Linked DNA regions of Drosophila melanogaster. The protein of the gene in region 1 interacts with the protein of each later gene in a pairwise test. Each region holds a gene or a part of one and is shown in the gene's direction. Other genes may lie near its edges.

Region 1 (7,724 bases):
CGCCGTTAGCATCAGCGAGGATGTGGCGAACAAGAAGGAACTGCTGCCGGAATTGGTGCTGGAGCAAATGGACGAGGAGCAGATCTGGCAGCAACTGGAGATTCGCAACGAACTAGTGTTCCAACAGGTGCTGGAGCAAACCGCCAGGCTGACGGCGATGCGCGAGCAGCACCTGGGCATTGAACTGGACGATGGTGAAGAAATAGAGGAAGAAGACGAAGTAATACAAGCTGAAGACTCAGGCGATGAGGAACAAGATGAGGAATCAGACTTCAGCGACGAGGATGGAGGGCTACAAAAGCAGAAGACCGCGCCGCCGAAAGACAAACGAAACAAGCGACTACGCAACTCTGTGGTGGACGATACCTTCTTCAAGTTGGAAGAGATGAATGAGTTCCTGGAGCAGGAGGATGCCAAGGAGATGCGCCGCCTGAACAGCAAGAAACGCGTTGAGCAGGCCGATGATATAGATCATTTCGCAGAGGATTTTGGTCTTGGCGAAGATGAGGAGGACGATGAGGAGGGGAATGTCAACTATGCGGACTTCTTTGACATGAATGAGGAACTGACAGAGCATTCTAAAAAGATTAACAAAGGCAAGCAGAAAGATTTCTTCAATGAAAACGAGAGTGAAAATGAAAATGAACCGGATGAGGATGCAAATCCCAAAGAGGGCGATTCTGATCAAAGCGAAGGAGACGAGGGCGATGATGAACCTGAAAATGATCAAGATCCAGATGAGGCGGCCAGCGAAATAGATGAATCCGAATTCGTGGCAAAAAGTGGCATAGAACCTGCCAGCGATTCAGACTCGGATTCGGAGAAAGAAGAGGAGGAGCCACAACCCACAGAGCCACCGTCCCAATCATCCAATGAGATGAGAGAGGCTCGTTTGTTTCAACGCATCCGCGACTACGAAGACATTGTCCTAGGCGAGAAGCCTTGGCAGCTCAAAGGCGAAGTAAAGGCAGCCAATCGGCCCCAGAACTCACTGCTTGAGGAGATTCTCGACTTCGATTCGACCACCAGGCCAACGGCGCCAATCACGGAAGAGGATAACCGCTCCATCGAGGACATAATTAAGCAGCGTATTCGCGACAAAGCATGGGACGATGTGGAGCGCACTGTGCGACCGGTGAACACCCCGCAAGAGTACAGAAAACAACTTGTGCTTGACCAGGAGAAATCAAAACAATCGCTGTCGCAGATCTACGAGGCGCAGTATCAGCGCGAAATGGAAAAACTCGATCCCAATCGCGATGCCGATGACAAAACTGGTCCGGAACCGAAAGAACACCAAGAAATCAAGCGGGCAATGCGTTCCCTATTCCTTAAATTGGACGCCCTCTCCAATTTCCACTTCACGCCGAAACCGGTGGCGCCGGAGATCAAGATCGTAACGAACACACCAGCAGTTCACATGGAAGAGGTGGCCCCGCTGGCGGTGAGCGATGCCAAGCTGCTGGCACCCGAGGAGGTGTTCCGCGGACCCAAGCACGCTCCACTTGGCAAGACCGAACGCGATCGAACGGATAAGAACCGCGAGCGCCGCAAAAAGAAGCAAAAGCAGCGGGCCATCCACTCGGCTCTGGAGCAGCGCGAGCTTCAGCGAGCCAAGGAGGGCAAGGCGCCCACAAAGAAGGAAGCGGATGCCAAGCTGCTCAAGACAATCACCAAGAATCGCAATGTTCAAAAGGTATATAACATTTTAGTTTATCTCTGTTTTATGTTTTGTATTTAATTGCTATTCTTGAGCGATTTTGAATTCTAAATGAATCAAACTTTAAACGATTTTCTTGCAGATCAATGCCAGCAGCAACGACCAGGGAGCTCTGAAGTCCTCAAAGGCTTTCTTCCACAAACTGCAGGATACCGCAGCGGCTACAGCATCCAAAAAGCGACCGAAAAAGGATACCGCCAAGGCGGATGCCAAGAAGCTGAAGCTTTAAACGTACACGCTAGGACTCCTTCATATTGTAATTGCCTTAAGCCAGCAAAGTTTTCTCGTCTCCAGTCACGTGCCAGAAAGTTGTCACAAGCACACACGTATGCCCACATAGCAATCCTTGTTGCAAGAATATCTTTAGCATGTACTGTGTGTCTGGGGAGTCCCCAATTTGGTGCTCCATGGGAGATGCCATGTGTCGGTACTTTTAATGTTCCATGTGCGCGGATCCATCGTATGTGTATGTGATGCGTGGGCGCTTTGTGTGTGGCGGCGTGTGAGTCAAGGACATTCTGTGTCCTGTTGAGGCGATTAGGCACGCGTGCAGCTTGCGGAATTTGACTATTCTTAGAATTATTTACTTAAAATAACTGTTTGCTATGTAAATAGTACCCTAATTAAAGAAAGCAAAGCAAGTAACGTAGCCACTTGTTTTTTTGTTGGATTAGAGTAGAAATACTCAATCATATAATCATCATCATAATTTCTATATTACATTACAAAATTAAAAAATTTAATTTTATCTTCTAAGGGAGAAATAGAGATGGGATACAAATCGAAATCGATATGCTATAACGGTCAATTTTCCAATCGGTTTTGGTGAAACAGCTGCTATTGGTGCTCGGCCCTGCGAAGGGGGTGTGTATTGGCTAAAGTTGTGACCGTGCCTGAGACATCGGTAATGAAAATAGTTCCCGATATCGACTGTAGCTACGTTTTGCGATTCTGAACATATCGATATTAAAGCGTAGCACGTGTGGTTGTGGTGCATTTTAAATATAGTTTTGCTCGAGTTTTTACGCATCTGTCAAAAAAGCAAAAAATAATATGGTTAAAGTACAGAAACCGCAGCCCAAGTCGCTGAACAAGAGCGCCAGCATCGAGGGCGTGGTTAAGAAAAAGGGTAAACCGGAAAAGACCAAGAAACTGGCCACAGACGCTACTCTGGAGTTGGCCAGCAACAAAAAGGCAAAGAACGCGGCTCCGGTGAAAAAAGATGCCATCAAGAAGGAGCCGGAGGTGTCCAAGAAGGGAGCCGAGAAGAAGCAGTCAAAAGCGGCCAAGCGCCCACTAATTTTGGCTCCTCCTGAGTCGCCGGCTGCCCCCGCACCAGCGGCGAAGAAGTCTAAGGCAAAGCCGGCCGCTTCTGGGGCTCCGGTCGGCAAAAAGATCGAAGCCAAAAAACCTTTGATTTTGGCTCCTCCAGAATCCCCTGTGCCACCGAAAAAGCAAGAGAAAAAGACTAAAGCTGCTCCTGTGAAAGCCAAAAAAGAGCCAGCACCAGCAAAGAAGTCTGTGCAAGATCCCGTACCTTCTATTAAGAAGGTTCCTGCAGCTAAAAAGTCAGGACAAACTGCTGCACTAACGAAAAAGACTGCGAAAACCGAAAAACAAGCAGCACCAGCTAAACCAGCAAAGGCTCAGCCCGCTTCGCAGCTCCAAAAGAAGGCAAAGGCGGTGCAAAAGCTGTCTAAGCCTGCCAGTCCACCCAAATCCAAGAAGGCCCTCAGCAAGTCCAAGCCTGGTCAGGCCAAAGGCAACGCTGTCAACAAAGAGCCTGCCAAGTCTAAAAAACCAGTTGAGCTGACCTTCGAATTGAAGGCCTTTGACGAGAAACGGTTCCACGAGATTGTCAATGAAAATAATGTGACGAAGGTGTGCGCGGCATTGAAGTCTGTTGTCTCCGAGGAGGTGGAAAAGAAGAAGAACACCTCGATCTTCTCTGATTACCGCTATGTTTTGCAAGTTTGCAGCTACAAGATCCCCAGCTGCCCAAAGCGCATGGTCAAGTTGAATCTGAAGCATTCGTTGGTGGGCAAGGACGACGATGTGGCTCTCATCGTGCCAGATTTGCAGCGTGGAGCCAAGTTTGACTATGATCCCACCAAGCAACACTACGAGGATATGTTGCGAGAGGCTGGTGTGAAACAGCGCCTAACCGTCGTTCCATTCAACCAGCTGCGCAACGAGATGGGTTCCTTTGAGGCCAAGCGCAAGTTCCTCAACAGCTACGACTACCTGTTGTGCGACGGTCGTTTGTCAGGACAGGCTACTGCCTTTTTGGGCAAGGTAAGAAATTCTGCCTGCTAATGAGTGGGTTCCAGGAAGACAAATCTTTCTTTTGTCCGCAAATAGATCTTGTGGGAAGGTCGCGAACATTCGTATGTATTTTTTTAAGGTATTCATATATATTCTGAATCAGGGTATCCTTCGCAATGTTTTATGATGAAATGAGATTAATCCAGCCATATTAAATGTTATTCTCTTCCAAATTGTAAAACATTTTTCAAATCGGGAGACTGTATTTTTATTCAGCCATATGAATTACGCGGATTTTATAGAAATCTAGGAAGAACTTTAATAGAATTTATTAACTATTTTCTAAATTTGCAATACCACTGCCTTATCCATTTGTAGAACACCCAGAAGCCCCGCAACGTGCTCCACTCACTGCGTCTGAGCAAGGACAACGATAAGCTGCCACAGGAGGTGACCCGCGCCCTCACCCGCACCGCATTCAGGCAGTTGTCAAAGGGAGATCTAATTGCCGTTCCGGTGGGCAACCACGAAATCACCGCCGAGCAGTTGGCTGAGAACATTCTGCTGGTGATCAAGCAGCTCCAGGAAGTCTATCCGGGTGGACTGGCCAACATTCGTTCGATGTACCTCAAGATCGATATCACGGGAACCAGTGCGCTGCCACTATATGTCAGCATGTGTGCACCACCGGAGGATGTACCATATGTTGTGGGTCCTCGCGAGCAGCGTATGCTCAAGCTTAAGAAGCAGGCCAATGAGGTGCTGTCCAAATTTGCCATGACCAAGGATGCGGAGTTCATTAAGCTCACCAGCGACCAGGTCAAGCGCAAGGCCCAGTTGCGCAAAGAGAAGGCTGCACTGCTGGCTGCTGATGCCGCTCCAAAGGACAATGATGGCGGGGACGCAGCAGTGCCCGCGAAAAAAGCTCGCAAGGAGTCCAGCAGCGAAGGCGCAAAGGCTGATGCAGAATCCGATGAGGAGGAGGAAGTTGAGGAGGCAGAGGACAGTGCTGGCGAAAGTGGCGATGAGGATGAGGAGGGACATGATGGCGATGATACTGATGAAGATGAAGATGAAGATGACGATGACGATAATGAAGATGGTGATGACGATGAGGACGAGGACGACGATGAGGAAGACGATGACGAGGAAGACGATGATGATGATGACGATGAAGAGTAATACGTCAGTCTCATTGCTCATTGTTAATTATAGGGTATTTCTATATATGCATAACAATCTTGCTATAATTCCGTTTGCAATTTTTATAACAGTTTTAGATAATAAACGAATGTTTTAAGTATGGAAACTTATCTCTTTTAATAACCGCTCATTTAGTAACATTCATTCGATCGCGGTTGCGGCTCGGGACTCTTTTTGGCTATGAACACTGGGATCTTTGTTGTGAACCCTGGGCGGGATCTGCATTACAAGAATCAAGAATCAGCTCCACATATGATGTAATTCAATAAATTCCTATACTACTACAAATATATTGTTTTTCTTTAATTCATTCTCTCTTTTTAATCACTCAATGCCAATTTTTTTGTCATTCAAGCAAATGTAATATTACTTATCCGCCATGATGGTTGTGTAGGCATATATGTTACTTAATTGCCATGACAATCAAAAATTATTAATATTCTGGGGAAATTCATACTCGCACTTTGTATATTACATTATTGAAATAGGATTAAAATAAAATATATTATGCAATTGTGCATATGCAGTTGTTATAGTATGCAAATTTCGCATTTAAAATCGCTTATTGCCCAATGGCATGCTATCGATTTCCATGAATATTCACCCATAACGCATATCTGCATTCTATGAAATCAAGCATGTACATTTTACCTTATGGTCGCCGATTTTGAATGCCTTTTCCAGATTGCCAGCTCGCGGAAAATGGCGCAAATTCCAGTTGACATATCGCGGCTCAAAGTGGATGCCAACAACCCTTCGTGGCATCCTTTGAGGTCATAAAATCCTAATATGCATTATGGCAACGGTCTTTGCTCAGCGGGAAGTTGCAACGTGTACACACAACAAAGTCAATTTCAATTTTCATAATAACTGATTTATATGCATATATATTTTATATATATTTTTTTCGTAAAACTCCTCATTTCCGAACCATCTATCCAGTGGGAGTACAGCAAAATGCAATTTCTTTGATGTCTCGCCTTTGACGAATTATGTATTATGAGTAGGTTGACCAAAAGTAGCAATTCGCTTGCATAATTTCTCTTAATTAACATGACTCGCCGGAACTTTGACAGTAGAATGTTCATATGTCCAGCTGTCTTGTCCAATTCCATCGTGCGAGATCCATTGAGCGGCTTTTTTACATGGGCAAGGTCGCTGCTCCAGAGATTAGAATCACGTTCATGGTAACCGCCGAATAAGTATGGCAAAAACCAAATACCAAGCCGGACACGTCGTCGGAAGCAACAAAAACATTGTAAAGCTTTTATCAGCCCAAATTATCATTAGCCGCGTTCTCTGTGCCTGCCATAAAATCCATATATATGTATTTGTCCAGATAAACATGCATACTTCCATGTGGATATGGGCGGTTAGGATTCCCTACATACGCATTTGGCATTTCCCCATTTCCGCTAGCCAACCTTTTGGTACACATGAATTAGCTTCTGAAAAAATGTGGGTCACTGAAAGGATTTACATGGATTAAGGTATATTAAGCTGAGTTAGAAAACAAAAAGAACTTGCAATTCGTTAGCACTAATTGTCAAAATAATTCAATGAAAATGCTCTATAAAATGATACTTTCCTTAACATTAATGGATTCCAATTCACATTGGTCTGTGGTAATTTGAAAAATATTTTATGATTGCAAATTTGAATATTGAATATAATATTTTAGACAACTGGTCTATACTAAGTTTTAAAATATCATATAATCACAAGTCAATGAAGTGGCCATTATTGAATATGGAACATATTTTTGTAGGCAACATAACCTTTATTTACTATTTAGGATTGCCATAATCAAATATCAACAGCAACCATTCAATTTACATCAGTCAGTCCGGATATAGCCAATGATATAACTTCCTTATCAATATGGTGTCTCTTATCTCATTACGATATATGGCTTTTAGGGACGACTAATTGTGAGCATGCGAAAATAACCGAATAATTGTGATGGTAATCTCTCAACTGATTAGTCAGAGTTGCTTCGCAGAACGATGAGATAGCTGATGTACTGCCAATTATGAGATAATGCACGTAAAGTTATTAATAATCTGGAATATTGGGGGGGATTTATATTGGATTTGATGGCTGACAGCTGCCGCATCCGCGGGCACTAATTGAAAACTATCAGATGCTGATTAATCCAATGCTGATAGTCATGATCGATGGACAATGGCTCGATAAACGCTTCGATAATTGTGCGTAATAGATGATTAATAAACTGATGCAGAACGTAGCCAACTGTGTGTTGCCGTGTTGCTGTTGCCCTTTTGCCACGTGTTGCGTATACGACCAGTTGGCCAGCACCCAACGACCATCCCATGACTGCGCACAATCCCCATTGAAATCGGCCCAAAAGCAGCAAGTATCACGTCGTGGGCGGACCCGAGGACGTGGACCGAACTTCGGAGTTTCCACTCGGGTGCCACCTGAACGCGTTGAAATCTTTCGTATCCTGGACTCGTATAAATCGCGGTCTCCTTGGCTGCCGATTTCACTTGCGTTTCAGTCTCAAAGCGGTGCA
Region 2 (7,638 bases), on another chromosome or scaffold:
AGGTCAAATCTATAGAAATGTACATATATTGTATAATTAATATAAAACAAGAAGGAATGTTATAGTCGAGTTGCCCGACTATCTGATACCCGTTCCTTACCTAGTGTGAATGCGAACGTGAAATTCCATCATTATTCATCATTATAAAAATTGTTCAAAAGTGTGGGCGTGACTTGGTGTCTTTAGGGTGTTAGAGTGGGAGTGGCAAAAAGTTTTTTTCATATCGATAGAAATTTGAACGTCTAATAAAATTGAGAAAAATTTGCTTGAATGTGGCCGTAGCAGTTTTGGGCGGTTGAAGGGAGTTAGAGTGGGCGTGGCAAAAAATCTAGAGAAACTGTATTTTTGCTTAAAATTATTAACACATTTTTCAAAATTGTGGGCGTGACATTTTTGTGCGGTTTGTGGGCGTGCCAACATAGGTCAACAAACTTGCGCTGTGTCGATGTCTCTAGAATGCTGAATCTTAATCTTCTAGCTCTTATAGTTCCTAAGATCCCGTTCATACGGACAGACGGACATGACCAGATCGACTCGGCTATTGATCCTGATCAATAATATATATACTTTATATGGTCGAAAACGCTTCCTTCTGCCTGTTTTCTACTTTTCGAAGAATCTACTTATAGTCTACTTATTTACTCTACGAATAACGGGTATAAACGTAATTTTTTTAAAACATCCTGATTAAATAAATGGTAATGCTGTTCCTGAATGTTTTAGGGACACTTTTGGTGTTTTAGCACTTGATTAAATTGTGACTGATTAAATTATATTTTACGTTCCGGACATCTATAGTTCACTTGTTGGATCTCAATTTATAAATGTCTATGATGGTGAGCTGGTTTGATGAAACAAAGCCAGTCAACTATTTAAAACTTAACCATTCGAAGTATAAGTATTTAATTAATAATATTAAGCACGAATATTTAACAATTATCCTATTCTTCATCACTATTAAAACTAAATCTGTAAATCGGGGAAAAATTCTTAAAGGTGTAGTTAAAATTTATCTCACTACGGACATAAAAAAATTATGATTTCATTAATGTAATATGAAATGTTGAAGCTGCTTGGTAACTTTAAACAAAAAAACGAAAAGACAGCGTTTGTTCGGTAAACTTATATATTTGCACTCAACGTGAAAAAAAGCAATTTAATTTTGATTGATTGATTAACTAGTAAGCCAAAATTAGGTAGAGAAAAAACACGAGCAGCAGCACCGCAACGAGCGACCTTCCCACTCTGTGCAGTCAGGAGCGAAGATCCGTGAGAGGGACGTACATTACGCCCATGAGACGTGTCATCTCCACCTTCCCATTGGCGTCCTTGTCGTACTGTAAAAATGGTTATATTATTATATATTATTATATATTATTATGTATATTATTATATATTATTATGTATATTATTATATATTATTATGTATATTATGATATATATATATTATTATGTATATTATTATATATATATATTATTATGTATATTATTATATATATATATATTATTATTATTACATATACATATTATTCCAGCAGTTATACGAATCAGCATCTGCCCACCTGTTGCATGTACTGAGACCCGCCGTCGGGACCGACTGGAACTATCAGGCGTCCGCCGCTGGCCAGTTGGTTGATGAGTTCGGTGGGTGTGTCGGGAGCAGCTGCTCCTACATGGATTGCATTATACGGGGCGTTCGGGGGGTATCCCTTGCGGCCGTCACCCTCGACGATCAGCAACTGGCCGGAGTCCAGCATGCTACGGTCGTCGGTGTTTAAGTTGGCCTTGCTCCGCCGCACCAGCTCTGCCTGGTGCTCTATGCCCACGATTCGGGTGTCCGCATCAACGCCCTTAGCCTTGATGTAACGATAGAAGCAGGCTGTGAGGTAGCCAGATCCAGAGCCCACATCCAGTATACGTGCACCGGGCTTCAAGTGGTCGCGTAGATACTCCAAGGCGAAGGCATGCTGGGAAAGAAAAATGTATTAATCTCCAGTTTAAAAAGACACTTTACTTTCAGAAATTATAAGAATATGATGGGAAGAAGCTACGGGAGTGAAGAACTAGTCTTCAAATGATGAGCCATTGATATGTTTTTAGTGGATTAAAGAAAGCTACTTTTTTATGCTGCCTCCTAAAAGCATCTTGAGTGTGGGCATTGACTCCCACAGCAAACATGGCGAGCAAACTATTTGTTTTTCAATGTCCTGGCTAGGAGTTACCATGTGAGGAGCACTGATGGTGACACCTCCTCCAATGGGTTGCGGGGCGTCCATGTAGGGGTTGCGCGGAGAGTAGTGCTTGCGGTCGGTTTCCTTCATCGCCTGGGCCACCGCATCACTTGCAATGACGCCGTGATCTTGGGGATTCGGTTCTATTATTAACTCGGCCCATTAAACGGAGCGAATTCAAGGGCTCACCCTTCAGTTGGCGAATCAGGTCTTCATTATTGGCTCCCACGGATCGCCACGCCATGCTGAAGGCGCGGAAGAAGAAGCCCAGTTTACCAATCCGCACCACAAGATTCCCTTTTTCCACCGTCTTGTTGTTTTGTTTAGTTTGTTATAATATTGTACCAGAGGTGGCAGGCCAACGATAACACTGACAAGCAATCGACACATTCAAGCAGTACTCATACATCAACTGAGTTTTGGGTCGTATGTCCTGCATCTAATAAGTTTAACTCCTCTGTTGAATTTATATTGAAATAATATCTGTTGAATATATATAATATCGATAGTTGCATAACATTTTCAGTTCAATAAAAATATCACTGGTCGAACTTTAATAACTAAAAGTGAACATGCTGCTATGTACATGGATATGTAAAACATCTAAACCCGTGCTGTCACTGCTGTGCAGGTAATATTATATTAAAATTATATAAAATATATATACATATATTTTTTTAAACTTTTTTTTTTTAAGTTTAAATCATTTATTATTATGCATTAGGAATCGTTCAGTTCCTTCTGAACTTAACCTAATGTGTAGCTTAAAAGATATTATGGATTCTGTTCCTTAATTATAGTGTACACATATGTACCGTGGAGAGATTATTGTATTCTCTTCAGACGTCGGAGGGAAATAAGGTCGACAAGATCATTCGCCAACGTGTTCGGGTGGGCGCTAAGTCTGTCGGCATATCGGCTGCTGTGGAAGTTTATTTGGTCTCCCAATGGTATGGCTGCGTTTAAGCAATGAATTGCATTTAATCGTGGTCCCTGCCATATTCCTAATCCTTTCCCGAAAATCGTTAAAAAGATTATATATACTTAATTTTTGCTTGAGAGATATGGCGGCAATTTAAATTAAGCGCTTGATTTTAGTATGACCTTGTGCTTTATCGCCTGTCGATATGATAAAAGCGGTTTCTCTGGCAATCGAACCGTGCGATCCTGGCCCTATTTGTTATATGTAAACAGGATGTCCAATGTAGGGAAAATAAAGATAAGATCCATTGCGGATCTGCAGGCCACAGTACGAGTAAATGTAGAACCGGACCCAACGCCCACGATCGAGAACAGAACGCCGGACAAGAAAAGAGCGGGAAGAACTCGTGCGGCTTCCACGACAAAAAAGGTCCGACCAAAGACGGAAGCATGTCCAATCATAGCCAGCACTGCGTTCAAGCGTTCCAGCAAGAAGACTCCGCTGCCAGGACAAATGCGCATCGATAGCTTTTTTACAAGTGCCGTCAAGAACTACAAAGTCAAGTCAAGTTCCTCTTGCAGGAAGGTGGATCCTCCGTTGGACAAGCGAAAGGTATCTACCAAAGGGCGCAAGCGCCTCTTCGAGGAGTCTACAACAACCTCATCTGCCTTTACGGGCAAGCTGGATGCAAAGCCGTCAGAGAAGCGAGTGCAGCCTAGTCGCCGTGCGAAAGGCAAGGAGAACGCTAGCCTCTCCGAAGTGCACGTAATTGACCTGTGCTCCGAGGACGAGCAGACCATAAAAAGAAAGCCATCCGCGATAGCCTCTCCCTGTGAAAAAAGCAGCGATGTCCAAGCAACCAAGTTTAGAACTCCAGAGACTTCCATGCCAGAAGCCAAGCTAAGCAATTCCAGCCTAGACCTAGTGGAAATCTCCCCCGGTCCCAACAAATCCCCAACGAATAACTTTTACCGGTCATCGCCGGCTGCAATCACAAAGGAAAGCCCCCTGGGCAAAAACTCTAAAAAAGGAACTGTACGCAAACAAAGAAAACCAAAGCCTTGTCCGCCCTATAAAGTAGTGGAGGGTACATCCTTCTGCGTCGACGGCTTTCAGTTTGGGGAAATAGAGGGAGTCACACATTACTTTCTCACGCACTTTCATGCGGATCACTACATCGGCCTGACTAAAAAGTTCTGCCATCCCCTCTACGTGAGTCCTATTTCAGCGCGCTTGGTGCGAACGTTTATTAAACTCGATGAAACGCACATTCACGAAATTGATGTGGACCAGACCCTGGACGTAGATGGCGTCCAAGTAACCGCCTTAGAAGCTAACCAGTAAGAGCAGTCGCTTTTTTTTGGCAGCTTACCAAACTGCTATTTCTCACCTTTCAGCTGTCCTGGAGCACTCATGTTCTTCTTCAAACTGAGCTCTGGCGAATGCATACTGCACACCGGGGACTTCCGAGCTAGCGCGGACATGGAATCCCTACCAATCTTCTGGAACCATTCAAACATCGACCTGCTTTATCTGGACACAACGTATATGAACAAAAACTACGACTTCTGCCACCAAAGCGAGAGCGTTGACCGAGCGGTGGATCTGGTGCGCGCCTTCCTAGAGAAAAATGCAGCCAAACGAATCCTTATCGTCTGCGGCTCCTACGTGATAGGAAAGGAGAAGATATGGTTGGCCTTAGCGAAGGAGTTCACAATGAGGGTTTGGACGGAAAGCAATCGCAGCACTGCAGTAAGATGCCTGAATTGGCCGGATCTAGACTCCGTGCTAACAGAAGATCGCAGCGGAGCAAACTTGCACGTCATTGCAATGGGAAAAATCAGCTATCCGGTAAGTGTATTTCTAAAATATATCAATTTTTTAGTTAGCGATATTATTTTGTTTCAGAGCCTAGTCGATTACTTTACTGAATTCGAGGACCAATATGACATGTTGCTGGGCATAAGGCCCAGCGGTTGGGAAAAGAACTCAAAGCCTTCGTACGGCAAGCGAATTAGCACGATCGGCATTGAGTACTCAGAACACTCCAGCTACAAGGAGTTGGAGCGCTTTGTTCGCTTCCTCAAGCCAAAGCGAGTCATAAGCACCGTTCCCGTGGGCCGCGATCTCTATGTCACTGGAGAGGTGCCCATACGGTGGTACAAGTACGAAGGTCGGGCATCTATGCTGCGTACTGGGTTTCAGCCTTCGATATCCACTTTCCTAGCTACGCCGAAGCGAGCTTTTGCAAAATTCAGTGCAGATACTGAAATGTTCTTGAGCCCCGTGGATGAGAATGCTTCCAAAGGGAGTGAAGATAAGAAAGACGATGACCGGGAGTCCGTGGTGCCAACGAATCATGTAACTATTATATCCGACACTCCGGAAGAGTGTTTTCAAACTGATTCCAAGATACCAGTTAAAAACGAGCCTCTGGCACCGGACACGTCACCGAATTCTGAAATAGTTGCACAACTCAATGCGATGGAATCCGAAATTCCATATGTTGAAATAGACATTAAAAACGAAACTATCGCACCTGATGCAGTCCTCATACCTCGTGTCCCAACGGAAGATACATTTCAAAGTACGGATTGCAATGTTATTGGTGTCCAGAAAAGCCAGGCAGTCGTGGTTAGTAGACTGACATCCGATGCATCAGACGATTGGCTCCTGTAGTGATTAAATTTCGGATAAAAAAGTCCTTTGGATTTAAGTATGGCTGCTAGTAGTTTTAAGATATTTTGTTATGAAATAATAAGGTATATACATACTTATGTTCGAAAAGGGCTTTAGTTTCTGTTAAACTTTTATAATGTTTTAATATCTTTTATATAAGGCTTGCCTTTTAAATACTTTACATATGTATTTTGGTTGATATATATATATATTCCCACACTATTTAGTTGCGAACCGTACATAATGAAATAAATTGAGTTTTAGTTTGGAGGAAAGGAAACCATTAAATATGTGCTAATGCTAATAACAATGGGCGACCTTAACTCAAGTGCTAACGAATGTAAATGAGCTTTGTATTTTTCACCTATATGCATTATGATTTCATTCAAATAATAAAGAAATGTATAAACCACTTGAGCGAGTGCTTTAAAATGATCTCCTTCTGATTTCTGCATACTTTATGCGAAAACAATTGACTATACAAGCACTTGACAAACATAAGATATTTCCTAAATATGTAACCATGGTATGGGTAAGTCATCCCAGAAACTAGTAATACAAGTAATTAATTATTGAATATGACCATTTGAGTTTTTTGGCAAAAAATACATTTCTAGGCTCCGTGCTCCGTGATTACGATTTGGAAGTATACTAGACAACAACTAAGCGCATATACATGATGAAAAAGATGAGACTGTAGTAACCGGCTGCTCGATTTGATTTTTGGTGGGGTCGGCAGGGGCTGCTCCATGGTCATTTAGCTAAAAGTGAAGTAAGTGGCTAGTAAGTGACAATGCGACGAAGTACCAATGAATCGGCAACCTACCACCAAGAGAAGAAAGGGCTCTTATTTTGGAAGCGCTGCGTAAAAGAGAAGAAACGACTGCCACTTGATCTGAAATGTTAGAAACCATTATTGGCCTCCTATAATCCGGAGTCATGAAAGTATGATACTTACCGCTCGACAATCACCGCTGGCATCTGGACCAGTTGCACCGGCGACTTGCCATCCCTCAGTGCCTGTGTGAGATTTAGAATCTGGCCCCGCATCACCGACATCTGGCGCTCGAAGAGACGCTTGTCAAAGCCGCGATCCTGCTGGAAGAGGTACAACAACTCCGTGCAGATCTCCTCTACAAAGTTCATATCTGACAACTGCGGCAGCACCTGCTCCTTGATTTCTTCGCTAAACGGAATTTTCGCCTGTGGCAACCAGGCCCAATGGTAGGGATAAGCTCGCCAAGAGTCCGGATGCTTGAAGGGAAAAGCGAGACCATTGTCGATGGCAGCGATCCGAATGAAGGCCGAGTTCACCACATTCCAATCGGGTTCCGACGTAGGGGGGGATCTCGACGAGGGTTCATCTTCGCTGCTGGCCAAACTGCTGCTATCTTGCTGTGCACTTGTGGCTGCTCCACCCGCTAGGTGGTTCGAAGGGCGACCACCAGTAGTCGGTTTCGGGCTAGCCTGCGGCGGCTCGTTTAGGTCAACGATTTTTGAAGCCCCCAACGCATTGGGCAATTTGGGGGTCACAACTCCGTGCATAGTTCTGCCGCCAGTGCCTCCCACCTGGGTCGTGATCTTAGGGGCCACGTACTTGATCAGCCAGTTGTCGTTGCCACGGTCCGTGTTGCGTATGATATAATCGAGCACGACGAGGCGCTCGAACTGCAGTTGGAACGACTTCGCCACTGAAGGCGGCAAGGGTTCGCTTTCAAAGCGCCGCAGCCAATAGTCCGCATCCTTGTAACCCTCCACGAAGAGCTGAAAGGAGCCAGTCTGCAAGGAATTTTGACTTGGTTAATA
Region 3 (8,589 bases), on another chromosome or scaffold:
CAATGCAGAAATCAAGGATAAGGCTATCATATCACCTTTACTGCATGTCCAGCTTACCTGAGCGTTTTTAATCAGCGCATTGTCATAGCCTTCGGAAACCTTGAGAAAATGTCCCTTATAGTCCTTCACCTGGTTAATGTCGTCCTTCACGAACACACTGAGATTTTTAAGCACCGTGCGGCTAGCCTGATCCAAGAGTATGGTGTGGAACTTGTTCATCTCCTGGAAAACAAACAGCACACAAGGTTTATATAGCCCATATAGGATGTCACTGAAGCGATTACCTGGAAGCAGTGAATCAGCTTGCCCAGCGCATTGTGCGCGTTCTTATTGTCGAGAAAGTGCTGTTGTAGATCCCACAGGGACATGGCAAAGGCGCTAAAAAGTCGAGAATATGGCGAATCGATGCCAATGAATATGAATGAGCTAGGATAATGGCGCAGTGTGTTGTTTACCTCTGGTTCTTGACATACTCCTTGCCCGAGTCCACGGCCACATTGCACAGCTTGATGATTTTCTCCAAGCGCTGCTCCAAGTGCTCGATGTCGCTCTCCTCCTTGGAAACAAATTGTCTGCGGGGCGAGAAGCACAAAAAAAAAAACAAATCGAAAACGTTAGCACAATATCGTCGAGATGTAAACAAAAGATGGGCATCGGCTTGCGAGTGAGCTGGTGATTAAAATCGTCTTTGACTGGCTGAGCAGAGTAAACATAATCAACCAGCTTAATCAAAGAAGTTATCGCGGGGGCAGCGGATGATCCGACGCTCTCACTCTGCCTCTGTTTATGTTGACACTTTTAATTTATGCGGACTTATTAAAGCGCTGTTTGCTCTTCCAATTGAACACGAGTCGCCACCAAGTGAAGAAGGAGGAGGATACCCCATCTCTGGGGACAAGTTTTTGTATCACTCTGTTGCGTCTTCTTCGGGTTTTTCTCGTCTTTTTCCCCTGTGTCATCCATCGATTTGTCGGGCATTGCTTTTGTTTTAACTTTGTGTTTATTTTCTTGGACGTACTCGTTCCAGAGGCTAGCTACATGGTAATTTCGAATGGAGGTCTGTCTATTTCAGCAGTCAATTCATTCTGAGAGTGGCTTTGAAAAGTCGTATTCCGTGATAATATTGCTATCATACACAGTTTTCATTTTAAACTAATGGCTTTCGAAAGCTTCATATATCTTCAAATATGTGTTCGTCATTCAAACGATTGAGCCAAATGCACAATGAGTTGAAGTTTTTGATAAAAAATAAATCGTTTAATTCTACTTAAAACTGGAAACTAGTTTAAGCTAGTTTAAAAAAATGCATAACATTGATACATTTTACTATGGTTGCGATAATATCTGCCTAGTTCTGAAGCAATAGAAATGTCCTACTTTACAGATCCTTAGATTTCTTATTTTTTATATGCATGGCAGAAAAGTTCACATATGATTCACATAATTTATTGTAGTGTACTTCGGTTTCGAAACACCAAGGTCAAGTTGGCACTTCCACAAATGATAAAAGAACCGAAGTGCAGGAGAATCCAAGATAGTCTTGATTTCCTGTTTTCTTTCAAGTGAAGCTGCTGCAGGTGCGAAAAAGTGGGGAAGATGTGATGGGGCTGCTGGGCAAACAAGTTATCGCCGCGTTTGTGCACCGTTTTACGAGGGAAAGCTTTTGTCTTTGGACACGATTAGTGGAGAAGCGGCAATTTGGGTGAAATCTTATCAATCAGCGGCGGGCATTGAAGCGTTCGCGGACGGAGACGAGAGCATCGGCAATTTAATTGCGGAAATAAAGGGGCAGGCAGGCACATTCCACACTGCTGACGGGACAAAGTTTGTTCGATGGATGATTAAGCCGCGTTTTCAGGTGGAGCAGGTGGGGCGGTGTTGGGCTGTATCTGGTTTTGGATAGTAACCAGTCACGCTACATGGAGCAATTCGAATCTCACGCCAAATGCGGCTCAGGATGGGCACACAGTGGGGGCGGGGCTGCAGCTTATATGCACCTGAATCTGGGAGAATCCTTCAGGCACTCCTCGAACTCGATGGTGGCGCGCATTTTGGCCACCACGCAAGCAGCACCTAGACTGCACTGCTGGCTATTTCGCTACGCTAATTGAGGCCCGTGAATCTTTGTTGGCCTGTTGCTGCTGCTCTGCTTTGCTTTGCTTTCCTTGCTGAAGTGGGGATTTCGATGCGCGATTTTCGAGGGCGGCTCTGGGAGAAGCTAATTGCGGGCAGCAGGAGATATGGTGATTAGTCGCATCCTTGGCAATCGACGGCTACACACGTTGAGCACTGGCCCTAATTAGCGAAACTCGCCAATTTACGCGATTCGGGGCCGAATTTACCAAATTTACACAGCGCGCAGAGACAACAAATTAAAACGTCTCACTTTCTACTAGAGCAGATCGGTGTGCCCGCACTCGCAGCGAAAACAAATCTAGCAGCGCGAATGGTCACACACTTTGGCGGGCTTATTTGCTTTTGCTCATATCTTTTAAAATTTTAAATGTATTGAATGCTTAGTGTTTTCCTTGTGCTGATTTTCGTTTTAAAACTCGATTAGTTACGAAGATTTCAATTCAAAGGCATAAAACAACGCACATTGACATTGTCAGCACGGTTTATCAGTGTTGGAAACTTTTGTAGCTAAGAAGAAGCTAATTAGGAACTTAAATTCCCTAAAAGAAGATACAGCCCAAAAAAGATTTGGGTTCTAGCCATAATCAATGTAGATGTATTTAAAGTACAAACGATGACAATTTTAAACACCAAAACAAGCAAATCCGTTTCAAGCTACCGCCAGCCAAGTCAAATCTAGCTACAAAACAGATCAGCTGACAGCACCGCTGGATTTTAGGGTGCCCGCCTTGTGCGACAAGAATCCGCGGCCAGTGCTGCACAAGTGCCATTTTTCATTTCATTGTTCTGTTCTCTTTCTGCTGGTGCTGTTTTGGTTTAAGTGCAATTATCCACACAAGTACGCACCGAAAACCGATGCACCTGCACCGTGCACCAAGTGTGGGAGTGCCCAGTGCCAGTTTCATTTATAAAACTATGAGTTTCGCACGGCAACCAGCGCAGCTGACCGACTGACCGATCAGAGTCTCACGTCCCCCCTCGCCTCATGTGTTTACCCCTTGTCCAGCGTTCTATTTGCGTTTCGTGTCCGCTTTAAATCGCCTCATTTGCATACAACTCGACGGCTTTACGTCACAACTCTTTAAAATCGGCGAAGTAGAGGAGGAGGAGTGAAACACGCCCATTCCCGGAGGAAGCATTAGACCGACCTGTTTGGAATCCAGAATGTGGAAGTGCCACAAGTGCGGCAAACCCGTTTACTTCGGTAATGCACCCACACACGAGCGCATTGCGATCCGTAAATAACTTGTAAATTATATTTATTTATGCCCCGCACAGCGGAACGTAAACAATCGATCGGCTACGATTGGCATCCGGAATGTTTGCGCTGCGAGGAATGCGGCAAACGCTTAAATCCCGGCCAGCATGCTGAGGTAGGAGGATCACCTGTTAGTTAGCCGATCATGTGATCTATATAAAGCCTTTTGTTTTCCTTTCAGCACAAAAGTGTGCCCTACTGCCATGTGCCCTGCTATGGCGCCCTGTTTGGACCCCAGTTGTTTGGCCACGGCACCCGGGTGGAATCGCACAAAAGCTATGGGGTGAAGGGAGCCCAGAAGCCAACCGGAGCTCAGGCCAATGGCCCGCCACTCCCACGTGATCACCTGGAGTCCAAACTTAAGGTGCAGAACGCAATACCCAGACATATCAATATCTCATGACTCACCAAATTCCCTTTTAATGGGCAGGTCTACAACCAATTCTACGACAACAAAAGCCTGGAGATACGTAGTCGTGAGGTCAACAACCGGTTGGTGCTGGAAGGCGCGCTTAGAGTTTACTGGGGCGTGCAGGGAGTGATTCATCTCAAGGAGGACGATGATCAGCGCATCTTAGTGCGCAAAAGGAACTCTTGCCGTGTGTCCAAGGCTGCCAATGTAAGCTGAATCTATAACATAACAAAACGTTATTTATACAATTGTACCCACAGGAAAGCAGTTCGGATAAGGAAAACGAAGCTAGCGAATCGCTGGCTCCGCCCACCACCACCACAGCCGAGGTCGATCAACTATCCACGGATGTTTCCCTTTCCGAGAGCATGACCTTCGACTCCTGTAGCCTGAACGAGATCTCCGAGTTGCCCACAACCCCAGAAGATGCCTCGGCCAACACCACAGCCAACAGCAAAGAGCAGACCAATGGTAATGTGTGCAACGACGACGAGGATACGACCACGACGGACTCATCTGGAACCCTGGTGGAGGCTCCTACTGCCAGCACAAGTTGTGTGTCCAGCACATTGCCTTCGAAGTTGGACCGTCTGGAAAAACTGGATTGGGACGACATAGACGATCTGCTGCAGGTAGAGAGACGTCACAACGACAAGGATCGCATTTATGAAACTATGCCTGTCAAACTGCCGTCGTCGCAATCCTCCAGCGACAGTTCGCCCAGCAAAACATCCACAGAGACCACTACGACCACTGAATCAAGCTCGACTCAATCGGCATCAACAAACACCAGCAGCACGGATGATTTTATGACCGCCACGGGATCGTTGACTGCCAACACCAATACGCAGAATACAACAACGGTGTCTACTACTGAGACCTCTCTGGATAACTTCGAGACTTGCGATGACGCTACCCTGAAGCCTATTGATTTCGAGGACTTTAAGCGTAGTGTCCACCAGGACTATGTAAATGGGGCCAACTCCTTTACGGAGCCCAATGAGGGCACCCTTAAGCGTAATCAACCAATTGATCCCTCTCGCATTCACGACTCCCTTAAGCTCTACGGCGAGAATTCAGCGATGAGCAAAAGCTTTAATTGTGAGCATGCATTGCGGTCAATAGATCCCACTTTAATCAACGACACCATGAATCTGCGCAGTAGTGTGGGCTCTCCTCACTCCGCACAGCGTCAGTACGCCTTACAAAAGAGTGGATCGGCCACAGTAACCAGCAGGGATCAAAAGAAGCCATATCAACAGGGGCGGCAGTTGTTCGAAAAGGGCATCAACCGCTCCAAATCGGGACCCAGCTGTTTTGTGTACTCCGACAGCGATGACGACGACGAGGCCACGCTGCGTCCCCAACGTATGGCCACCATTCGACGCAGCGACATACCTCAGCGGTACATACAAATCCAGATGGACTGTTATCCCAAAGAGAATGTGGCTGCTGCTAGCGAAGGTGAGTCAAGTCGGGCAGATGCTCCATCCATAACCAGTGGTGCAGCGGCCGGCGATGAGCTTACGCAAACCGAGGATTTGTACACTGCAAGCGAGGGCGTTGATGGTCCAGACGGAGATGGATCGGCTGGGTTGCATGTGACGGAAGATGGAGTTGTGCTGAGAAGACCTCCACGCACAGGAGCTTCTGCCATCAAGCGACGAAGTGGCAATCGTCGGTAAGTTACTGAAACTTTTAATGAAGAAATTGTGTTGTAATTCCAACTTCTTAATCAATAGTTCTCGTACCAAGCTGAAACGTCGGTGCTCTATCAATGGTCACTACTACAATCGGGAGACGTCGTTTTTCACGCCGCCCTACGGTTCTCAAATGTCAGTGTGGGTCTCCTCGATGGTGACCACCACTGAGGTTATCAACTTGGTGCTGGAGAAATACAAGGTGGACAGTTCGCCTGGCAATTTTTCACTCTTCATTGTTCGCGACAATGGTGAACAGAAACGTCTCAAGGACGACGAATATCCTTTGATAACGCGCGTCACTTTGGGACCTCATGAGGATGTGGCTCGTATATTTTTAGTGGATTCTCGCAAAACTGATGAAATCAGGCAAGTTATAACACTCCTTTTCAATAGAAGTTTGCTTACGTTTCTTTTGCATCGCTGCAGTAATGAAGTTGCTCAATTTTTGAATTTATCTTTGCCCGAGTGCCGTGCTATTCTGGAGCGCTACGACCAGGAACTGGCCCGCGAAGTGGCCAAAATAAAGGAAAGGTGGGTTTTAAAAAATAATTTTACATCCCAAGACTTTGCATTGAAAGAGAATTACTTTTCCGCAGATACGCCGAATTGCGACGTCGTATTGTCAGTCGCATGGAATCTCTGAAAGTGCATTTGTAAAACGTAAATGAAACCTCTGGCATAAGAGCAATTTTTTATTAGCCATAACATGAATGCGGCCAAAAAAGAAGTGTCGGCAGCAGCACAGCTAATAGTATTCACGTTTTTATACGAGATATATATTTTTATGTAGAATCTAGAGAAAATTACGAACTAGCAAACATTAGGCGCCCAGTGAACAAAAAGCAGCTGCTGCTCGTCGCAAAATACATATACATACATTACGTTTAGGGTTCGATTCTTCCCAGCCGAAACTAACAATCAATTCCAGGCATTTCCATTCGTTTAGAAAGCGTTTAAGACTTGTAACTAACCAAAAAATAATTATTAATCCACAACATTACCATACAGTTTTTTGTTTTATGTTAATAATCAATGTATGTGCTTTATGCAGTCACGTTAAAAGCGTTGTCATTCATGTATCTATTGTACAATGTTTAGCTTTTAAGCCGTGACATGAAGCACAGGTCCTGCTAGTAGCGTGTAGTTGAAAGCCATTTTATCGAGTCATTGAACAAATGTGTGAAAATCAATTTGATTAGAAATCGCAATGCCTGCGAAACAATAAGAATAACTGTGCACATACTTCATATTGCATAACATGGACTTGTTGATTGAAAATCATTTGGAAATCCAATAAAATGAAAATTTTACAACAGAATCGCCGCCTCTTTCGGTGACCAGCCAAGCGGAGTTTAAGGCCCCATGGTCGCCAACAAATTCCGGCAAGTAACGCGTCCCTAGTGCAAAGGGGCGAACCTAAAGGCGGCAGCAGTAGCAGAAAGTGTGAGCCGAATATTCAAAAAAGGCAGCAACCGGCGCCAGCCGTCCGTGCCCAAATGGGGATCAAGTGGAGGTGGACCTCTAGCCCCCCCCCCACACACACACACACACATACACACACTAGGGTGGGGGCAAACCGATGCCCTGTCCTGGCCAAAGCAGCCATCAAAGCACAAGTCAATGATGCCATTATAATAGAGAAACGACGGAGGAGCAGCGCGGAAATAGCGACGAGGACGAAAGTAGGCAAGCACTGGCTCACTCACATAATAAATGCACACCCCACAGCGGCACAGAGTGAGTGTGTGTGCGTGGCTATTAATTTGAAACTGACAGAGCCTACGGGTCTCCATTCCGGCTACAACGTGGTTGGGACTCCGCAACAACTACAGGACCGTGCCAGCGTTGGCCAGCCTTTGAGACGATCCGATGCTGATGCTGACGCGTTAAATGGTTTTGGGGTTTCCCGGCCAACAGCAGCCGCGCTGGCCTGGTCCAAGTGTGCCAAGCGCCAATACATAAAAATCAACAGCCAGCGACACTCGGCAAAAAAAGAAGAAGACTCAAGTCCATTTGGGATGCGAAGTCGCATTGGGCGCCAGTGGCAGGTTCACGACCCGCTGCCTTGGCTCCAGCAATTATCGCCTAAGAGCATTGCGAATCCGCATTCCAGAGCTCTGGCCATGTTGGCGGCCCTAAGAGAGTCCACAAAAATCGATTTTAAGCCATTTCTAGTCGCTATTCGCCTTGTTGGTGGTGGCATTCTGGAAGGGCCTGGCAGTTGTTGCGCCAACGGCAAGGGGGTGGTGGCTATGTGAGAGCGAGGACACATTGCGCATACGCAGTGGGTTACACTGGAAAAAAGGTCATAGAAGTGGAAGTACACAATTTACTTACAGATACTTTCGTTTAGTTAACATGACTTTAAAGTGCTTAAAAATATGAAAGCTAATATTTAATATGTGTTAAGATTTTGATTCTAAACTATTTTGAAACATAATTCAAATGATTCACTCGCCAAATGCGATGTGACAACCCTGCTGGTGTCCAGGCATTCCAGTGACTCTCTTAGCGCATCCTTTCGCGCTCTTAGGCCTCGGAACTGGTGTCGCAAAATTCCAATGGTGGCTGTCACTTAGCAGCTCGTCTTCGTAGGCGCTCAGTTTACGTTTCGGCCGCGTCGCCTTCAGTTCCCCAGTGTTTCGTGACCAGGCTGCACTTCATCCGCGGAGGCGCCTGCTATTGCAAGAGCAAACACAGAAACAGATTCTAAAACAGAAACAGAAACTGGATCCCAGAGCCAACTCATTGTCATTCATAGCTTAGCATAGTTGCTGCGTAAGATTGTGTGTGCGTGGATAGCAGCGGCAGTGAGTGTGCGTGAGTGCGTAAAACCGGAGGCGTCTGTAGTTTTCCACAGGACATCGCACCAGCGATTTGGACTAGCGAGAGCGGAACCCGTCAACAGGGCGCATCGCTTGAAGCACTTCCTCCGTAGCCACCGCTGACATCTCCTGTTCCTGTTCCCGTTCCCGGACGTCGATCATGAAGCACTCGCCGCTGATTGCCAGCGCTTGTCTGGCGCTGGTGTTGATGTCATCCAGCCTGATTGGCAGCACCGAGGCCAGAAACAAGAAGAA
Region 4 (7,188 bases), on another chromosome or scaffold:
AAAGGACATGATGGATTCGTGGTCATAGCCTAGGCGCATTTCATCCACTTCCACGAGGGAATTATTCAACGATGAATCAGATAGATTCATTTTGTATTGGCGGTAAAAAATGCGCAAAGCAAATAAATAGAAATAATAAACTGAAAGAGTGACCAGGCACCAAGGGGTGGGTCAAATAGCCTAACGCCTAGTTAAGCGCTGTATCGCATGAACGTAAACGGTCATACCATTATTGTTGCTCCACGTGCGGCGATTTTTATTCATTTACTACTTTAATAATCAATTTTAGTGAATTGACACTAATTAAAATGCCGCCTGTTAAGAAGCCCAAGGCGCAGAAGATCGAGAAGCAAAGCACGCCCAAAAAGCCCATCGATGCAGCCAAGAATGTGGTTTCCGGACAGGTGAGCGGCTACCAAAAACAAATGCTCCTCCGTTGGGTTGGATAACCGTAAACTGCGTCCATTTTAGCTAAAGAAAAAGGTGACCAAGGCCAGGCCGCAGAAGCCAAAGGGTCCAGAACGCGGCGTGGTCATTGTGAAGCACCTGCCTCACGGATTCTTCGAGCAGCAGCTGCGCCAGTACTTCCGACAGTTCGGTCGGGTGCTGCGCGTCCGTTTGGCCCGTTCGCTGCGCACCGGTAACAGCAAGGGCTACGCCTTCGTGGAGTTCGAGTACCCGGAGGTGGCCAAGGTGGCTGCCGACACCATGGACAACTACCTGATGTTCCAGAAGGTGGTGAAGGCCACCTACATTCCACCAGAGAAGCAGACACTCAACTTCTTCAGGACTTCCTTGAAGAAGGTTGTCAATAAGGTGCGTTCAAAGGGAAATACATCTAATGTCCGTTTGTTATTCATAGTTGTACTTCACTTGCAGGCCGGCAAGGAAATCTATGTCTCGGATTTAACCAAAGCCACACAGCGCAGCGTGAAAAAGCAGAATAACTGGGATGAGTCCGCCTGCCAGAAGCGCACCGTGGCCAATCTCAACAAGATCAAGAAGCTGCAGGAGAAGTACAAGGATCTGGGCATCGACTTCTCCAACTTACTGGTGGAACCAGTAAAGAAAGCAGCAGGCTCCGCTGAGGCATCTACAAGCCAGGCAGCCGCCAAGAAAGCCGGTAAGAAACAAAAAACGGCCGCGAAGAAAGAACCAACGCTGGAGGATTTGCTGGGCAACACCATCAACGAGGACTCCGATGATGAGGACTACGTTGATGCATCCGATGATGAGTCCGATCTGGAGGCTGAGGAGGAGCAAGCGGACAGTGAGCAGACCAGCGATGACAGCGACGAAGAGGAGGATTTATCACCGCCGCCCAAGCAGAAAAAGACTAAGCTGGCTGATAAACTGAAACGCAAGCCCGGCACTGGTGGTGTGCAGAAGAAGAAAATAGCTCCGCCGGCTAAGAGCAACAAGAATGCCGCCACCCAGAAGTTGCAGCTGGCCGCAGCCAAGTCGCTGGCCAAACCCTTGCCCAAGGGAAAGGCCAAGAAATCCAAGTAGTAGCTTAAAATACATTTACTATAGTTGTTAAGTAAGCGAAAACATTTTGTAAGATGAATTGTGTTAAAATATGTCCTTGTACAAACTAAAATGGCGTTTTGGCCGAGCTGCCTTGCTGCTCCTCCAGTTTGATGCGCTTGCACTTCATGCGTCGATTTTGGAACCACACCTTCACCTGGCGTTCGGTCAGCTCCAGCGCCACTGCGATTTCGTAGCGACGCAAGCGAGTCAAATAGTTGGAATAGCAGAACTCCGCTTCCAGCTGCTTGAGCTGCGTTTTTGAAAATGCTGTGCGTTCCTTGCGATTCGAGCTGATTGCCCGGAGTTTGGACCTTTGGCTTGGAAGTTCTTGACCAGTAGGTGCCTCATTTTGTAACCATTGATCGTTCGCTTCGTTGCACCAATTAGTTTCTAGTTTATTGTAATCCGCGTAGGAAGAAGACGCACTGTGGTCATATACATAGCTGCAGTCCGTATAGCCCTCCGTTTGGTTCAGCCACGATTTCGTAATATCCTCGTAGCAATAGGATTCTTGGTAGACGTTCGCGTGGGAGTTCTTCATTGCCGATGTCTTTGCTTCTAGGTCTAAACTATTACTGAAATCTCAGATTCGGCGGAGCTGCTTTTTAAACAAGGCGCAGAGTGTGCCAGGCCAATCTGCTTTTTCACTTAGTCGCAAATGATGTGCTGCTGATATGATAATTGTGCGCAACATCTGGACCTCGGGTATGAGTGGTTATGACACCCGCAGATCGGCTTGTTGTCTTTGCCTACGAACTGTTGTCACAACAAACCCGAATCCGATTCCCAGCCCCTTCCCCAGGCGTCCGGTCAGAAACGGAAGTGGACGCATGAGTCAAGTGCTTTGTGCCACCAACTGCGGAGCTATAAAATTTTAATAGACAACCGTCGGCGAGTCGTAAGACCCAGTCGGAGATTTATCTGAAAGTCGCAATTGCACGCGCTTTTAAAGTCGATGCGGCGGATTACGAGTGACCATTGAGTGTATATTCCTAGATAATCCATGACAAAGTGGAGTTTTATATAATAATTAATGGGGAAATAAGTGCGTGTCACAGAAATGGTTAAGGGATAAAATAGTTCAATAAAATAAGTCTTACGGGGGTTTTAGAAATTAGAAAAGAAATCAAAAAATTTTGATATCCTATTATGAAACCAATTATAAAATGGACACAGCAAAAACGTAAATTCTAGCTTCTGCTTATTTTTCTTGGGGCTTAGGTATACCCTTTTTTATTTGAGTTTTTATTAAATAATATACCGGTATATGAAAATTAACCGGTTCCGGTTTTAAATTATCCGCATTTATTTTCAAACTGAATAAGTGTTGGGTAATCTTTTTTGGTTAAGGCATAGGCACATTTCAAGTGTTGCCAGACTATGACATTCCAAAGGGCATTCAGTGATATCTGTTGTCCTTCGCTGTGTAGTTATTGTTTGGCTAGATTTATTCATATATTTCTTTTAATTTTCCTTTGTCAGCTAATAAATCTCATTTAATCTAGAAAAAGTATACAAGAGGTTTAAATATATCTATCGATAGAAATGAAGCAACGGTAGAAATACTTTCCGATATCTATCGATATATTAATACTTTTATGCTTCCCATCCCCAGTGCAATAGTACAATTTACAATTTACAATCATTTAGTACAATCTGCGATATCTGGGCATCCACATTCGCCAAAATATGTGCGGCTAAAACCCCCCGCGAACCGCTAAGCGGCGGCGAAACAGTCGGACAAAAGCGACATAAAGAAACGAAGCGAGAAGCAGACGGGCGAATTAAACAAGTTTCGTTTGCGTGGAACGCAGAATTGCGTGGAAAGAAAGCCAACGAAGTAGAAGAAGAAGCAGCGCAGCAAATGCAATAATGTTTAATGTTTAAACAAATTCGCCAAGGAGTTTCATTCTTTTTTTCAAATCGTCATCCGTGAGTGCGTGTATGAGTGTTTGTGAGCGTGTGTGTTTGTGTGCATGTTGTGAAGTGGAAAGAGTGAAAACAAAATGAGAGTGTGCAAATGAAGTTGGCCAAGCCCAAAACAGCGAGAATTAATTAAAGCGACTAAGAAAAGTGGCCGTCGCCCAAAGGATTAATCACGCCCAGGGGTTACCCACCCACACCGCCAACCAACCAAACGAAAACTCGGTGAAAAGAGTGTGAACCGATCGGCAGCAGGACGCCGAAGGACCCAAAATGAGCGAGGAACTGAAAGTGGTGCTGCGGCGCAGCGAGCAGCATTCCGGTTTCGGGTTTTCGCTACTCGGAACCACCGGACCGCCACATGTCATCTACGACATCGTCGAGAATTCGCCGGCAGCCGATTGCGGAGCGGTAAGTGAAGCAAACACAACAGCACACCGCAGTTGCAGCTCCTCTGCGCCTTTGTGTGTGCTGTGTGTCATTCCATTCCCGTCTGGGACAGGAGGACTGGCGGAGTCCTCACACCGAGCGGCCCATGCCACCCCCTCATATCCACCCACCGGTGACCTCCGACCACCTCTACCAATGACTTCATCAACCACCGGGCACTGGAAGCAGCCAGCGAAGAAGCAGAAGCAACAGCTCCCTTGCTGGGCTCACTTTTGGCAACGCCACATTTTAGACTACAGTAGAGCCTCGACAAGGCACACCGCCCAATAGCGGAATTTATTAAAGATCATTAAATGGAAATACGTAGCTGGCAAAATTGACAAAATTCATAGAAATCATGCCAGTTTCTAGTTAAGATTGCTGTTCTGCAATACTCATTTTTCCCTGGAATTTTGTGCTTTTCAGGGAATATTAAGGAGATTTTAGAGAATTGACAAAAAATTGACAATTGACAAAATTCATAGAAATCATGCCAGTTTCTAGTTAAGATTGCTGTTCTGCAATACGCATTTTTCCCTGGAATTTTGTGCTTTTCAGGGAATTTTAAGGAGATTTTAGAGAAGTGCAATAACAAATTGTGTGATTTCAGCACCGTTTTAAAATTTTTGAAGGATTTGTATACCGTCCAACTGCCGTTACATAAGCATTCAAACGGAAAACAAATTATTCATGACGTTTTATCTGACGCAAAGTGCATACGTACATATGTATGTATGTATGTACATACATAGATAAGTACGATTTTTTATGGCAGCTGGTGGCTTGAGTTTTGGAAGTTGGATTGTGTGCAAAGCGACCGAGACTCGCCCCTCGGCTGCTGATAAGAATATTTTCCACTTTTCCACTTCTTTTTTTTATGGTGATGACCATGGCTGTCTGCTGGCGTATGTGAAAGCATTTCAATTTGCACAACGGCAACAAAAAAAAAGCGAAAAAAGCGAGAAAAGCGCAAATGAGAGTCCTCCGTTGGCGTGTCATCATTGTTTGCCGCTCGTGATGTCATCGTTGCTTTAATTGATGGGTGGAAGGGCGCTGGAAGGGGGCGAGGGGCGGGTAGTCTCACACAAAAGCCAGTGTATCAATTTTCAGGCTTGTTTTGCTTTTATTTACTATTTACTGTCATCGCATCGCATCTCGAATGTTTAGAGCCGAGTGCAAAAGAAAACAAAGCGTGTAAATATAGCGAACAAAATAAGGCAAATAATTTGTCTTTCTTTTCAATAAAATGCTGATATGTTTACTGTTCGATTGTTTTTGCTGTGTAAAGATCAATTTATTGTCAATTTAATCGAATCGGAATTCTCATGATATAACCAGCAGAAAGCGTTTTGTTCATTTTAAAAATATCTACATATATTGTAATATCAGAGACTCGGAAAGTATTATAGAATTTCTCTTGAAAAAGCCCATCCGCACCATTTATCTTATCTAAGTAAATTTAGTATACAATTCATAGAGAATAGTCACCTTTTGGTAGCTATTACCAATCTGGATTTCTCAGAATGGGATTCTTCGATGAACGCACCCAGCGGATATTGGATAAGAATGGACTTTACGTGGGGCCCATTTCAATTGTTATTAATTTCCCCATGCAACTGCGATTCGAAAGAGTTGCAACGCAAAGTTAACAAATCGACAGAATGCAAATGCAGCGCTATAAAAAGCAATGCAAAGACAACAATTTATAAATAAACTTACTCAGGCCGATGCTAACACACACATAAAGCCTCCGACTTACTTTGTAATTATCGGACGTGGCAACAAAAAAAAAAAAATAATAATAAAATAAAACGATTTACACGAAAACCCAAACAGAATTCTCCAGCTTTGGTTGTTAAATTTATGCGCCCGACCACCAAAACACAAAAAACCACAAAAACTTGGTCTCGAACAAACAAAACAACAGAAAACAAATCGAAATGCGTGAAAGCAGAGTGCAAAAAAACGCGTTGGGAATTTTAAATTGTTGAGATTATTAAGTAATTCCACACAAGCCACACAGGTATGATGGAAAGCAACACAATTGCATCGCGGTAATTTTCTTGAGGCAACGAACTGACATCGACATATGGACATGTATCTATATATATACATAATACATATGTATATGTGTGTGTGTGTTGATGTGGATGCAGCGGCACGCACTTTTTCAATTTCTTATCGCTTTCGCTTACAACTTGTTGTTATTTTTGTTGCCCGGCTTGTTTTGGGGCTGTTTGACTTGTCTTCTATCTACATACATGTGTATCTATGCACACACTGCTTATAAAGTGGGTGCTCCAGAGTATCTTGGCACCTAGGGTGTTTAAAAACAATATTTATAATTTTCAATTCAATTGATTTGATATTTATGAGCCGAGCTATAACAGAAAAATATCATATTGAGTTCCTAAGAAATTGTATTATTTAGGGTATCGGTTACGCTCCACGTTGCCTTATAAACGTTATATACAGAATTTTTCTGCCTCATTTTTAAACTTAGCACCTTCAACTGTAAATAACTCTCATTTACAAAGCATACCATCTGTAATTAGTTGCTTTTTCAAGACCGCACCCTGTAAGACATAAAAACTAATGAGTAACCAATGCGTCGGCTCCTCGAATGCAATTAATTTTACTTTTTATATGCCGTCATTCTGGTTGCGGTACAATTTTATTTTTCAATGAATGCACAAACACATGCACACACGCTCTTCTCAACTGGGTGTGTACAAATTGTGTGTATGTATGTATGTTGCATGTGTGTGTGTACGCTGTCGTCGGTTGTCTTTTGTCGCCTTCGCTTTTCCATTTCCCATTTTCTTTGCCTGGCTTTTCTTTAGCTAAGTTCCCTGCCTCTTCGCAGTTGCTGCTCTCTGTTTGTTGTCATTTCTGAATGCATTTACCGCACGTTTGTTTATTTTCCCACTTCTTCAGATACATCAAGTATACTCCACACACTCGCCAGACGACAAAAGTATCTGCGTTCCGAGGTGGCTGAGTGGCAAATTGTATTGCATTAATTGCGCTAAAGCAGTTACGCCTTTAAATCTAGTCGATTTATATAAATGTCTATGCGCACTAGATAGATTCTACATTAAAACCCATTTATAAATATCTTATTGTGCTTTTTCAAAACTTTAGCCATATGATATATCTATTTAAAAACAAACATTGAATGCTTGGGCGAAACTCCATGCCAAACACTCATGATCAAATAGCAAATACACAACTAGTTGTTGATGTTTTTCGAAATTATTTATATTCGTTTAGTCATTAATCTTTTGGGTTGCCAAGTGATTTGCT

Evidence for each region.
Region 2: the proteins of CG13096 (region 1) and Snm1 interact in a two-hybrid assay, tested with the Drosophila melanogaster proteins (one large-scale study listed by BioGRID).
Region 3: the proteins of CG13096 (region 1) and Rassf interact in a two-hybrid assay, tested with the Drosophila melanogaster proteins (one large-scale study listed by BioGRID).
Region 4: the proteins of CG13096 (region 1) and Efa6 interact in a two-hybrid assay, tested with the Drosophila melanogaster proteins (one large-scale study listed by BioGRID).

What each region holds. Positions count from the first base shown.
Region 1 is NT_033779.5:8,506,818-8,514,541, reverse strand, and holds CG13096 (uncharacterized protein), read left to right. Parts: upstream 1-2,675; 5' UTR 2,676-2,773; coding exon 2,774-4,015; intron 4,016-4,363; coding exon 4,364-5,167; 3' UTR 5,168-5,473; downstream 5,474-7,724. Other genes in the region: CG13097 (uncharacterized protein), read left to right, coding at 1-1,696, 1,803-1,949.
Region 2 is NT_033777.3:5,551,709-5,559,346, forward strand, and holds Snm1 (Snm1), read left to right. Parts: upstream 1-3,375; 5' UTR 3,376-3,426; coding exon 3,427-4,493; intron 4,494-4,550; coding exon 4,551-5,004; intron 5,005-5,061; coding exon 5,062-5,832; 3' UTR 5,833-6,078; downstream 6,079-7,638. Other genes in the region: Pcmt (Protein-L-isoaspartate (D-aspartate) O-methyltransferase), read right to left, coding at 1,254-1,337, 1,563-1,967, 2,223-2,359, 2,421-2,475; Pi4KIIalpha (phosphatidylinositol 4-kinase II alpha), read right to left, coding at 6,590-6,593, 6,659-6,727, 6,791-7,611.
Region 3 is NT_033777.3:23,112,250-23,120,838, reverse strand, and holds Rassf (Ras association family member), read left to right. Parts: upstream 1-2,907; 5' UTR 2,908-3,300; coding exon 3,301-3,340; intron 3,341-3,414; coding exon 3,415-3,509; intron 3,510-3,575; coding exon 3,576-3,758; intron 3,759-3,824; coding exon 3,825-4,013; intron 4,014-4,066; coding exon 4,067-5,487; intron 5,488-5,548; coding exon 5,549-5,875; intron 5,876-5,935; coding exon 5,936-6,040; intron 6,041-6,105; coding exon 6,106-6,166; 3' UTR 6,167-6,825; downstream 6,826-8,589. Other genes in the region: CenB1A (centaurin beta 1A), read right to left, coding at 58-222, 285-378, 456-572, 1,998-2,050; Cow (carrier of wingless), read left to right, coding at 8,495-8,589.
Region 4 is NT_033777.3:22,584,555-22,591,742, forward strand, and holds the start of Efa6 (exchange factor for Arf 6), read left to right. Parts: upstream 1-3,200; 5' UTR 3,201-3,726; coding exon 3,727-3,864; intron 3,865-7,188. Other genes in the region: CG33107 (uncharacterized protein), read right to left, coding at 1-90; CG6937 (uncharacterized protein), read left to right, coding at 309-404, 472-816, 880-1,509; btn (buttonless), read right to left, coding at 1,595-2,071. UniProt on the Drosophila melanogaster protein: Guanine nucleotide exchange factor for Arf6. Regulates axon growth and branching by inhibiting microtubule polymerisation at the cortex. Together with shot, promotes axonal microtubule bundle integrity.